Macaca mulatta: one gene and its partners. The protein of the gene in region 2 binds, or shares a complex with, the protein of the main gene of each other region. Links are inferred from orthologs where the notes say so. Each region holds a gene or a part of one and is shown on either strand. Other genes may lie near its edges.

Region 1 (3,643 bases), about 90 Mb from region 2:
CCCCAAGTCAAACTTCTACCTACTTCAAATAGCCTCACTTCTAAGAAACTTGCTGACCATTAGAATCTGCATCAATATCTCCATTTCTGAAAGCCACACTATATCAGCTGCTACTCATGACATTTACCATGCCCTGCCTTAAACTCTAGGCTATTTGTCTCCTCTACTGTAGGTTCTTTAGGGTAAAACTATGTCTGTTGTATCTTGTCATGTAATATGTATTTAGACAGTAAAATATTTGTAGTTAACCAATGAAGCAAAGCAGGCTCTTTTTGTTTGTTTTGAAGACATGGTCTCGCTCTGTTGCCCAGATTGAAGTGCAGTGGAGCAAACACAGCTCACCGCAGCCTTAACCTCCTGAACTCCAGTGATTCTCCCATCTCAGCCTCCCGAGTGGCTAGAACTACAGGTGGGCATCACCACGCCCAGCTATTTTTTTATTTTTTGAGAAGATGAAGTCTCACCATGTTGCTCAGGCTGGTCTCAAACTCCTGGCCTCCAGCAATCCTCTAACCCCAGCCTCCCAAAGTGCTGGGATTACAGGTGTGAGCCACCACACCCAGCTGCGGGCCTCTAAAGCAGCCAGCAAAATAAGTCAAATCCCATTCAACATACTTCAAAGGACCACTCAATTGTTTTTGTAGCCAAAGAAAACTATTCTCATAGACATTAAACGTCTGTTATCTCTGTACTTTGCTTGTAATCAGTGCACCATTAGCTAATGTCTAGGTTTAGACATTACTTAACATTACCAGGTTTAGACAATGCTTAAGATGCCTCTTAAGCAGGTTAACTTTCTTTTTTTTGAGACAGAGTCTCACTCTGTCACCCAGGCTGGAGTGCAGTGGCACAATCTCAGCTCACTGCAGCCTCTGCCTCCTGGGTTCAAGCGATTCTCCCACCTCAGCCTCTGGAGTAGCTGGGACTACAGGCACGCGATGCCCGGCTAATTTTTGTATTTTTAGTGGAGATGGGGTTTCACCATGTGGGCTAGGCTGGTCTCTAACTCCTGACATCAAGTGGTCCACCTGTTTTGGCCTTCCAAAGTGCTGGGATTACAGGTATGAGCCACAGCGCCCGACCATAAGCAGATTAACTTTCTAAACTTGCATGATTCTCTAGTGCTATCACTGGGTTATTCTTTCTGGACTTCAGTTTTCCTATCTATAAGATGACCTTAATATGTCTTCTAATCCCTTCACAGAATTTTATTTCCTCTACATATTTATAATAGGCTAGGTACTTTACTAGAACCTGTTTTTAGGGTCAAAACAGATGCTCAGATGCTAATCATTTTCTGGTACTCTCTACATTTTGATAGACAGTACAAGGTATTTCACACATATTATTTGATTTAATCTTCAAAATCCTAAAATGTAGGCATCTTTAGCCTTGTATTTCTCAACCAGGGGAGACCTGACCCCACCTGAACCTTTAGGGGACATCTGGCAATATTCTGAGACATTGTCACAATTTTTGGAGGTTGTGGGGGGGAAATGGCCCCTAGTGGCGAGAGACCAGGGATGCTGCTAAACATCCTATGATGCGCAAGATGCCTCCCACAACAAAAACATTATCTGTCCCCAAAAAATAGTGTGGAGCTTGAGAAACCCTATTGGCCTCATCTTTCAGTTAAGAAATCAAAGATTTAGAAAGCTTGGCCGGGTGCAGTGGCACACACCTATAATCCCAGCACTTTGGGAGGCCGAGGCAGGCGGGTAACTTGAGGCCAGGAGTTCGACAAGCCTGGGAAACATAATGAGACCTCATCTCAAAATAAATAAATACATAGATAAATGAAAGCTTAACTTACTTGCACAGAGTTACACAGATGGTGAGTGAACAGGGATCTAAAATCATCTCTGTATGACACCAAAGGCAATGGCACATTCCATCACACATACAAATACTGATGACCGTTTCTGACAGTTTGTATTGTTTCTTATCATTGTCCCCTCTCCCCCATTTAGTCTTGATATTTTAAATTCTGCTAATCAATATCAGTCAGTCTTATCCAGGAAAAGGATTCAGAAGCAGCTTTCTCAGACTCTCAGGTCAGATTCGAGAAATGTCTTTTCTTGTGCTCCCACTATATCTAGAGTCTAAAGCTTGACAGTAGCAATTAACGTATTGTACTGTGATTGCATGACTAGCTCCCCTTTGGACTGTAAGCTTAAGAAGAAGGTATTCCTTTTGATTTTTGTGTACCTAGTGCCAAGCAAAGTATCTCAGCACAGAGTATACATTTCATAAATGTGTGTTAAACAAATAAAACAGACTAAATTACATAATGTATCCAAGGATACAAAGCTACTAAATGACAGAACCAGGATTCAAATCCAAGTCTCTCCATTGCCAAAGCCTATAATTACTGTCTTAATAAAGCTAAAAATTAGATGTTTATCTTTTTATCTTGCTTGTGGGAATTCTTTGATCATAAACACATCAGAAATTTTATACACACACACACACACACACACACACAAGTTACTGTTTTAAAGACAGCTTATAATCATATGAATTTTCTTACAGAGCTTCCAATTTTAATCTCTACATTCTATAAAAGCTTGCAAGGTAGTTAGCATGTAATAATAGTGGTAAACTCTCCTAAATACCAGAACTATAAAGGAGCCATGGTTTTTTATTTGATAGTCTCCCTGAATTCAACACTCACTGCATAGAAATTGATGTTATTTTGAGTTGTCACAGGAACTGTGTATAAAAACTAAGGTAGAGTCTCTTAGGAAAAAAGAACTCACTTTAACTTTAGCTTTTATTTCTTCACTGTTCCTTTCTTCCTCATTGCGGGGTTCCATGCCAGAATCCTCCTGGATGTCTTTGTTTAGTACAGAGTACTCTTCTAGTAGAGTGTCAAACAAAACTATTCGCTTGTTCTTGAAGAAGCCATAAAAATAAGCATTGCTGTGGGAAGAGCGTTTAGATCCTAAGGAAAAGACAGTTCAAAGCATGGAATATAATTAAAAAGTTTGGGGTCCTTTGGAGAGACTCCTAGAAATTTAATTACTGGAAAGGACATTAACATTTTAAAATCGTTTAATAGAAGAAAAACCATATCAATATAATTCACCACCAGAAGTGGAGAGTGTCTGGTTTTTTGCCAATAAATGTGCTCATCACAGCTTTATAGCAATAAGTAAATAAGTAAAGCCTAAACATCCAACAGTTATGGAATGATTCAATTATAGTAAAACTATAAAATAGAATTTTAAGCAGCCAGAAAAAAATTATACTTCCAAAGAATTTTAACAAGAAAAAGCTCACCAATATATTGTGAAGCATACAAAACTTCATATATATAAGGTTCCATTATTGTCAAGAAAAAGTGTACATGTATTAGATGGGTGCAAACGTAATTGCGATTTTTGCATTGTTGAAATTTGCTGTTTGATATTGGAATACATTCTTAAATATGGTTATGTTATATGTCATTTTAATGCACATTTCTCGTTTTGTTTTTTGCTAATGATTTATTACTTGCTGTTTATTTTATATTTATTTTAGATAAGGGAAATGATATTAGACAAAAAGCAAATTCAGCCGGATACTGTGGCTCATACCTGTAATCCCAGCACTTTGGGAGGCTGAGGCAGGCGGATCACTTATAGTCAGGAGTTCGTGACCA
Region 2 (4,352 bases):
TGGCCAACCTGGTGAAACACCGTCTCTACTAAAAATACAAAATTTAGCTGGGTGTGGTGGCAGGCACCTGTTGTCCCAGCTACTTGGGAGGCTGAGGCAGAAGCATGGCTTGAACCCAGGAGGCAGAGGTTGCAGTGAGCCGAGATCACACTACTGTACTCCAGCCTGGACAACAAAGCGAGACTCCGTCTCAAAAAAACAAAATAAAGGTTGATGGCCGGGCATGGTGGCTCACGCCTGTAATCCCAGCACTCTGGGAGGCTGAGGTGGGTGGATCATTTGAAGGCAGGAGTTTGAGACCAGTCTAGTCAACATGGTGAAACCCTGTCTCTACTAAAAATACAAAAAAAAAAAAAAAAAAAAAAAAAATTAGCTGGGTGTGGTGGCTCACGCCTGTAATCCCAGCTACTCGGGAGGCTGAGGCAGGAGAATCTCTTGAGCCTGGGAGGTGGTGGTTGCGGTGAGCCAAGATCGCACCACTTCATTCCAGTCTGGGTAACAGAGTGAGACCCTGTCTCAAAAAAAAAAAAAAAGAAAGAAAGAAAAAAAGGTTGAGCCTGTTTTCCTACACACAACTTCCACTGACTCTTCAGAAAGAAGGGCTATGGGCCCGGCGTGGTGGCTCGCGCCTGTAATCCTAGGACTTTGGGAGGCCAAGGTAGGTGGATCACCTGAGGTTGGGAGTTCAAGACTAGCATGACCAACATGAAGAAACCCCTTCTCTACTAAAAATACAAAATTAGCCCGGCATGGTGGCACATGCCTGTAATCTCAGCTACTTGGGAGGCTGAGGCAGGAGAATCGCTTGAACCTGGGAGGCAGAGGTTGCGGTGAGCCGAGATTGTGCCATTGCACTCTAGCCTGGGCAACAAAAGCGAAACTCCATTTTCAAAAAAAAAAAAGGGCGATGGATCTGCCACACCCACCACACCTAGCAAAGGGTTTTGGGAAGAGCAGAAGTTTGGAGTAGTTGATAAAAGGGAGAGAAGAAGTCAAAGCCAACAGCCCTTTATGGCTCTCCAAGCCCTGTTAGTGCTCTTAGCCTGGGTCTGCATAGAGAAAGGGAAGGCAGGAAGAAGGGAACCAAATTTTGGGGGGACTGGAAGAGGAAGGCCTATACTTCCAAGCTCCCAAGGCTTTTTTAGGAAAGAAGAAGGTGGAGTTGAGCAGGGTGGGGTAGGGTGGGGCAGGGGTGGGTAAAGTAGGAGTGGCCTGAAGCTTCCAACGGCTGGATTTCAAAAATGTCACTGTATTCCAGCACTTTAATAAGACAAAGATCAAAACGTCAGCAGCTAAGAGGATGGGCCTGAGCAAAGACTGCCTGGCCTGGCTGGGAAAATGGAAGTGGCTCACTCCAAGGAGGGAAGGACAGTGCCCCCAACCCTCGAAGACACTAGGCAGTGGGCCAAGGGAGGAGTGCGGCCAGACCTGGGCATAACACAACTTCCTGAGCTGGGAGCCTCTGCCCTCTGCCTCCCTCCCTCCCTTGCATTCCTGGGCCAAGCAGGCCAAGGGCTGTGGGAGCTGCGGGGGAGCCAATCTCCCGATCTCCCATCTCCGGGAGCTCTTTTGGTGGGCCTGTCAGAGCCCAAGGAAGGTCCCAGACACGCAGAGTGGCAGAGTGAGGGACAGCTTCCCAACCCTTAGAACCCCGGACAAGGTCATGCCGAGGGGGCCACCGCCAAGCCCTCGGGAGGGAAAAGGGGGATTGCCCTGCCTTCCTCACCTCTCTCCAACACGCTGGACAGATGCCAGCTTGGGAGTCATGTCTTAGTGGGCATCATGTGTTCAGAGCCAGCTTGGGCAAAGCTGGCACCAGTGCCAAGCCCGCCAACAAAGTTCTAACAGGACCCTTTCTGCTACTCATATGTGTCCTGGGTGCCCAGAGTTCTTCGAGCTGGCAGGGCTAGTTCTGTTTTGCTTAAGCCCCTCCCGCAGGCTCCAAATAGCTGGCAAATCCCAATCTGACCGAATTCGGGCAGGCCCCAGCCCTAACTTGTCCCTGATACCCCCACCATTCCTTATATCCCCCCCACCCTCTCCCAGAGACCACCTCTTCCCTCTCTGTCCTGTCTTGACAATTCCCCTTGACACTGCCAGTCACTCGCTGGGGGCAGTTCCGGGAAGGGAGGAGACTATGGCAAAGTTATCGGCCTCCAGGCCCTCTCACTCCCTTCCTGCAGTCGGCCAGGGGCGCCGGCCAGCCGCCCTCTCCACTCCCCGCCAGGCACGCAGCCACCTGGGCGAACTCACCGCGCTTTCAGCTCCTTAAACTCCTCACGCACTTTGCTCAGCTCCAGCTGCAGGCGGGCACGCTCCTTGGCCACTGAGTCGAGGGTCTTGCGGGCATCCCCGAGCTCGGCCTCGTAGGCGGCCTTGATGCCGGACACCTCGCGGCTGACCACCTCTTCAGACTCGGTGATGCGAAGGCGCAGCCCTGCGTTCTCCGTTTCCAGCGAGCGAACACGGTCGATGTAGACCGCCAAGCGATCATTGAGCTCCTGCAGGTCCTCCTTCTCCTGCAGCCGGGTGATGCGGGTGGGCGACAGCGGAGTGGAACTGGCCTGCGCCCCGCTGCGGGTGGCGCGCCGCTGGGACGGGGTCTCCATGGCCGGCAGGTTGGCAGCGCTGCCCGCGGGGCAGGGGTCCCGGAAAGGGCTCGGGGCTCGGGCAGAAGGACGGAGACTGCTCGGAGTCGGAGTGCGCCGGCCGGCTGGCTCTCGGCTTGCTACTGGCAGGCGTGGGGATCTGGGCCGGGCGCTGTTGGACCTCGGGATCTGGGTTGGCTGGTGTAGGTGCTGCGCTCCCGCGAACACTGAGTCACCGACGCCGGGGCAAAGGCTCTAATAGGTCCTCGTCTGAAGGGAGGAGTGGCCACTGCTCTTAAAGGGGCAGTCCCAGATCCATGGGGGTGGGGGCAGGAGTGGTGAGGAGGGGGAAAGACCGTTGGGGTGTGGCGGAGTCGAGCCCCACCCTCTCCAGCGCACCCCTAACTGCGTGAGGCTTAAGCTTCCCCTCTCTTGGCTGCTCAGTACTGCCGGCTCCAAGCTTGCCCCCATTGCCTCAGACCTTCTGGGCTAGAGGGCAGAGCCAAGGAGGGAGAGTGGGTGGGCAAAAGGGTGGGGGAGAAAGAGAGGGAAGTGGGTGCAAAGCAAGGGAGAGGGTCAGGCAGGCAGGGCTGGGAGCCAGGAAAGTGGGGGGAGGGCTGAGGCTGGTGCCCATCAGTGTGACTCACCCTTCTTCCACCACTGGCTCCCCCTGTCCTCCCAGTAGTAATAGTGAGTCACCCCAACCCCCCCTCCACACGTGGGCAGCCCATTCAGAGCTGCATCTCAGTGTGCCAGGAGTGGGGTGGAGAAGGAATGCCTGGGTTCCCTGGGGGGAACAAAGTTCTGGAACCTGAGTTCCTTTATGCCCCCAATTTGGGGCCAGGGATCAAGGAGTTTGGGGGTCCCTTTTTTGCTTTCTTTTGCCCCAATATATCTCCCTTCAAAACCAAGTATTCGTTTTTAGACCCAAGCAACAAGCCACAGTCCCCTAAAGAAGGCCAAGAATAGGAGCCAGGCACTTCCCCCTTCCATCTCCTGTCCCCTTCCTTTGGACCCAAGCACTGCTTGGGTTCCTTCCCCCTTCAGTCCCTTTCTACTGCTTACCCCACCCAGTCAACTTAATTTTTTTCCCCCAGAACTGTACTTATTTTAATGGATAATTTAAAACAGATACCAGAGCTGTGTGTGCATTCATTACGTTGCCAGGACACTAGGTCCCAGATTTCTGTGGTTCCCAGAGGGGCCTGAAAGGGGGAGCAGGGCTGGGGGCTGGACAGCCAACGTTGGGTCTCTATCCTGGTTTCAGCCAGAAAGAAGGTAGTAGGGGGCAAGAAGGTAGTGGGGGGCAGGAACAGCAAAGACCCCACAGCCTTGCTGGCTGCAAAGGCCAGCACCACATTCATCTCTACTTTCCTCTCTGGCCAGGTCCATTTTGCAGCTGGCTCTGGGGAGGGGCCAGGCTGTCTCACAAAACGAGATCACCCAGGTCCCCAGGGTTCGCTAGCTCAGGCTCTGGAGCCTCCATCCTCAGGCCTCACCAAGGACCCTTTTGATAAGCCTTCCACTCCCCTCCCCTCATCCTGGCCCCTATTCTGGTCCCATCAGCCACCTCATCCTCTATTTTTTTTTTTTTTTTTTTTTGAGATGAAGTCTTGCTCTCTCACCCAGGCTGGAATGCAGTGGCATGATCTCAGCTCATTGCAACCTCCACCTCCAGGGTTCAAGAGATTCTCCTGCCTCAGCCTCCTGAGTAGCTGGGATTATAGGCACCCACCACCTTGTCCAGCTAATTTTTTATTTTTA
Region 3 (3,606 bases), on a different chromosome or scaffold from region 2:
GCTTAAGGATCGCTTAAGGCCAGCCTGGGCAACACAGAAGGGCCGTCTCTATTAAGTTAAAAAGTAAACAAAAAGAATAGGACTAAAATGTACTGAGGTGTACTCCCCTCACATCCTTCCAGCTGTGATGCCTGTGCTCCTTCTCCTACCTAAGAGATCATGGAAGATGGCAAGCGCCCTGCTCACCCTTGCCGAGGCCAGGAGAGCAGATGATATGCTGACTGGCAGGTGAACTCTCACCCACATCTGGCCCACCCTGTCTGGTACCTCTGACTCCCACTGACTTTTCCACCAGGTGTTGCCTAGCCCAGCTGTTGACTTAACTAACATCTGGAGCACCGTCCATCTGGCTCCCAGGAAAAGATCCACCCACACCCTCTCCCACATCACTCGGGGATTGAGACACAAGTCACCTGCCTGAGGCCTACATGGCTAGCATGACTGCCCTCTGGGAGTGGAAGGGAAGCTGCCAGTTTCGGTCTCTACTGATAAGGAGTGAGGGAGACATGGTCCGTCCCTGGAGAAGAGGCAACTCCCAGCCCACTTGTTTTTCAGTGCACAAAGCCCAGTCATGAAAGCCACTGACTTTATTGATCTAAAAAACTTTACAAGGACAGTGACTGTTCTGCCCAAAAAGGAGCCAAATGGTATCAAACGGACTGAAAGTGAGGGTGGGGGGTGAGGGACGGGGCCAGGAATCCATTCAGGAAAGCTGGTAACTGTCACCAGGGAACTGGCAAGGGAAAAAGGGCGGGGGAGGCATGCAAGAGCGAGAATCCAAAAAAGTTGAAATGGTTAGGGGAGAAAACTCCCAAAAGACCCTGGAGTACATCGGAGGTGAGTACGACAATAGCAATCTTTTCCTTCGTAGAGGGCAGGGGAGGAGTCCCTACTCGGCTGCAAACTCTGGATGAGGGCTGGGGATTGAGAGCTTCCCAGAGAGCATCACAAGAAGGCGTCACACCACTCTCGAAGGCATCCGAAGCAGTCCCGGGACTGCTTGGCGTTGGCGCCACACGTGTCCTTCAGCCATTCCCGGAAGAGGTCTTCATCTTTCTTTAGCACCAGAAACTGGCCAAGGACAACATAGGCCTGCAAAACAGGGAAAAAGGAAGGGGTGTGCTGCTCAGTGTTCAGTGAGGGATAAGAGCAAGGCGGCCATTCCTGTGCCATTCAGAGTACACAAGCCCAAGAAGCAGCGTGGGTTTTGCCCCCATCTCCTCTCCACCAGGTGCCCAGGCTCTGGCAGCCTCTTCAGATTATACCCCACTGTCCACCCCCTAGCAGATGGACTCACTTCCCTCCCACCCCCGCCTGCACCAGGTACAGGCGGCCACCCCACACCTTGTCAAAGCCCCTCTCCTCCAGCTTCTTGCCCAGGACTTCACCAATCCCAGCCAGGCTCCCCACTGGCTTCTCCCCCATGGGCTCTGCCACGAAGTCTCGGTGCTTTTGGGAGGTTGTCATCTTGATCAGGCTTAATCTAGGAATCCCAAAAGAAAGGCAGATTAGGGCTGAAGACCTGGAACTCCTAAGAGCCCACTAGCAATCTCACAGTAAGAGGCAGCCAAGCCAGGGATTCCGGTGGCTTGCTCTATCCCCCTCATCCTGAAAGGAGAAAACCGAGATCCAGGGAGACTCTTCCCTACTATTCTGAAAAGGAGTTTCTTCCTGCAGGACCTGGATTTTGATCTTGCCCCAGAAGAAAAACAATCTTGCCTAACAGGTGGCGCAAGCGGGGCAGTGGGAAGATTCCCAGAGTCAGTAGCCAGGGCTGCCCGGAAGCTGTCACTCCCTCTGTGACCTTGGCTGAGCCAAGAAGGTACTGACTGCCTGGAACAGCCACTTGGCGTGGAAAGCTAACCAGAGTCTCTACCTACAGGGCGAAGCGCACACCGAGCGCTGCGCACACCCGCTACGCGTCCACGGGGCACACGCCGCACCCCAGCTCCGCCCCCATCGCGCGCAGCCGCGGCCCGCCCCCTCCCGCGGCCCGGCTTCCACGCGCCGCACCCCGCCCCCTCCCCGCAGCGCGGCCAAACTCTCCCCCAGGGCCCGCCACAGCGCCTGCGGCCCCTCTCCTCCCCTTCTCCCCGCAATCCCTCTGGCCTCCAGCCAGGGCCCTGCTCCGCGGCTCGCGCTCACCGGCAGCTTCAGTTCCCGTAACGGTTCCTCCCGCCACCCTGCTGCTCCCGCGGATACGTCAAGCCACTAGAACTTTCTTCCATTTCCGCTTCCGGGTCGCCTCAGCCGCCTTTTAAAAAAAAAAAAAACCTTCCACGTTGGGCCCTTCTAGCCAGTTAGAGCTATAGAGTTGAGGCGCCACGGACCTCGACGGCGTCCTTAGTAGGCGCTCCTTTCCGGTTCTTCGCGGGAAGCCCTGTCTTCTGAGGTCTCGCTCCTCGAGCAGTTCTGAGGGAGAGAGGCCTACAGGGAGAGAACTTCCTTTCTGTGCTGCCCGGACCCGGAACTCAAGGACTTAGGCTTGACCGACCTGGCGTAGGGAAGAGTTAGAAGACGGACAAGGGAGGGGACGGGTGGCCGGGAGGCCTCTGAGACAGCGCCGGAAGACGGTTTTCGGAGGGATCCGACTCAGACTCACGTCGCACTCCTCGCAGTGGGACTGGTGGGAACTGGGAACGCTGGAGACCTGATTTCGAGGTGACGCTACCGTCGCGGCCGCCGGCAAGTTCCTTTACTGTGTTTTCTTGGCTCAGCCTTGAAGTGAGTCGTGGACGATCCTCTCTCAGCGTCCAGCCTGGACAGCGGGGTTGCTCCGGCAGCGTTCCTGGGAGCCCAGGGCCAGAGACTGAGTGTGGGTGTTTCTCTGAGGGTCTTTTCTCCGGGATAGACAGGGAGGAGGAAGGAGAACGGCAACTAGAGATGACAGTGTTTCCTTCGGAAACCATCAGTCTTAAGGGTGCTGGTCCTCGTCTTCTAAGTACGCAAGTCAGAAAAATGCAGATGTCGCAGACAAGCCTGCTCACCTCAACCTTTAATTAACTAGTTCCTGGCTTGGACCATCACGGTGGCCACCTAATTTGTCTCCGGCTGTAGTGTGTTGCCAGACTGAACTTCTCTGTTGTGTGACTGTGCCAGACTTGGGGTGTACAAGCGTGTTGAGAAAGATACGGTTTATTTCAAACTCCTTCCAGAGAGGTTGCCAGGATGATTTATCTGGAACTTTCCTATAGTTTTACATTACACCAGTACCTAAGATTGTAGAAGTTACTTTTTTTTTTTTTTTTTTTTTTTGAGACCGAGTCTCTCTCTGTTGCCCAGGCTGGAGTGCAGTGGCACGATCTCGGCTCACTCTAAGCTCCGCCTCCCGGGTTCACGCCATTCTCCTGCCTCAGCCTCCCAAGTAGCTGGCGCCCGCCACCACGCCCGGCTAAGTTTTTGTATTTTTAGTGGAGACGAGGTTTCACCGTGTTAGGATGGTCTGGATCTCTTGACCTCGTGATTCGCCCGCCTCGGCCTCCCAAAGTGCTGGGATTACAGGCGTGAGCCACAGCTCCCTGCCGGAGTTACTTTTACATGACATGCACTGTTGTCCCATTCTGTAACAGTGCTGAGTTAGCTGTTATTTTTCTGGGACCTAGAGAA

What was found.
Region 1: the proteins of LMNA (region 2) and ZMPSTE24 are in contact, whole or in part, in a crystal structure (PDB 2YPT), measured with the Homo sapiens proteins. The link is inferred for Macaca mulatta from reciprocal best matches to the Homo sapiens genes LMNA and ZMPSTE24. Residues at the interface, in NP_001393912.1 of Homo sapiens: Cys661, Ser662, Ile663, Met664; in NP_005848.2 of Homo sapiens: Ser264, Asn265, Ala266, Tyr267, Phe268, Val332, His335, His339, Glu415, Leu438, Asn439, Asn442, His459, Arg465.
Region 3: the proteins of LMNA (region 2) and BANF1 are in contact, whole or in part, in a crystal structure (PDB 6GHD), measured with the Homo sapiens proteins. The link is inferred for Macaca mulatta from reciprocal best matches to the Homo sapiens genes LMNA and BANF1. Residues at the interface, in NP_001393912.1 of Homo sapiens: Ser431, Gln432, His433, Ala434, Arg435, Met540, Lys542; in NP_001137457.1 of Homo sapiens: Val11, Ala12, Glu13, Pro14, Glu83, Asp86, Ala87, Phe88.

What each region holds. Positions count from the first base shown.
Region 1 is NC_133406.1:200,487,278-200,490,920, forward strand, and holds part of ZMPSTE24 (CAAX prenyl protease 1 homolog), read right to left. Parts: intron 2,945-3,643; coding exon 2,760-2,944; intron 1-2,759. UniProt on the Homo sapiens protein: Transmembrane metalloprotease whose catalytic activity is critical for processing lamin A/LMNA on the inner nuclear membrane and clearing clogged translocons on the endoplasmic reticulum.
Region 2 is NC_133406.1:110,815,735-110,820,086, forward strand, and holds the start of LMNA (lamin), read right to left. Parts: upstream 2,821-4,352; 5' UTR 2,610-2,820; coding exon 2,254-2,609; intron 1-2,253.
Region 3 is NC_133419.1:8,414,591-8,418,196, forward strand, and holds BANF1 (barrier-to-autointegration factor), read right to left. Parts: upstream 2,235-3,606; 5' UTR 2,229-2,234; coding exon of another isoform or gene 2,203-2,228; 5' UTR 2,146-2,202; exon of another isoform or gene 1,720-2,145; intron 1,484-1,719; coding exon of another isoform or gene 1,468-1,483; coding exon 1,345-1,467; intron 1,093-1,344; coding exon 946-1,092; 3' UTR 580-945; downstream 1-579. UniProt on the Homo sapiens protein: Non-specific DNA-binding protein that plays key roles in mitotic nuclear reassembly, chromatin organization, DNA damage response, gene expression and intrinsic immunity against foreign DNA.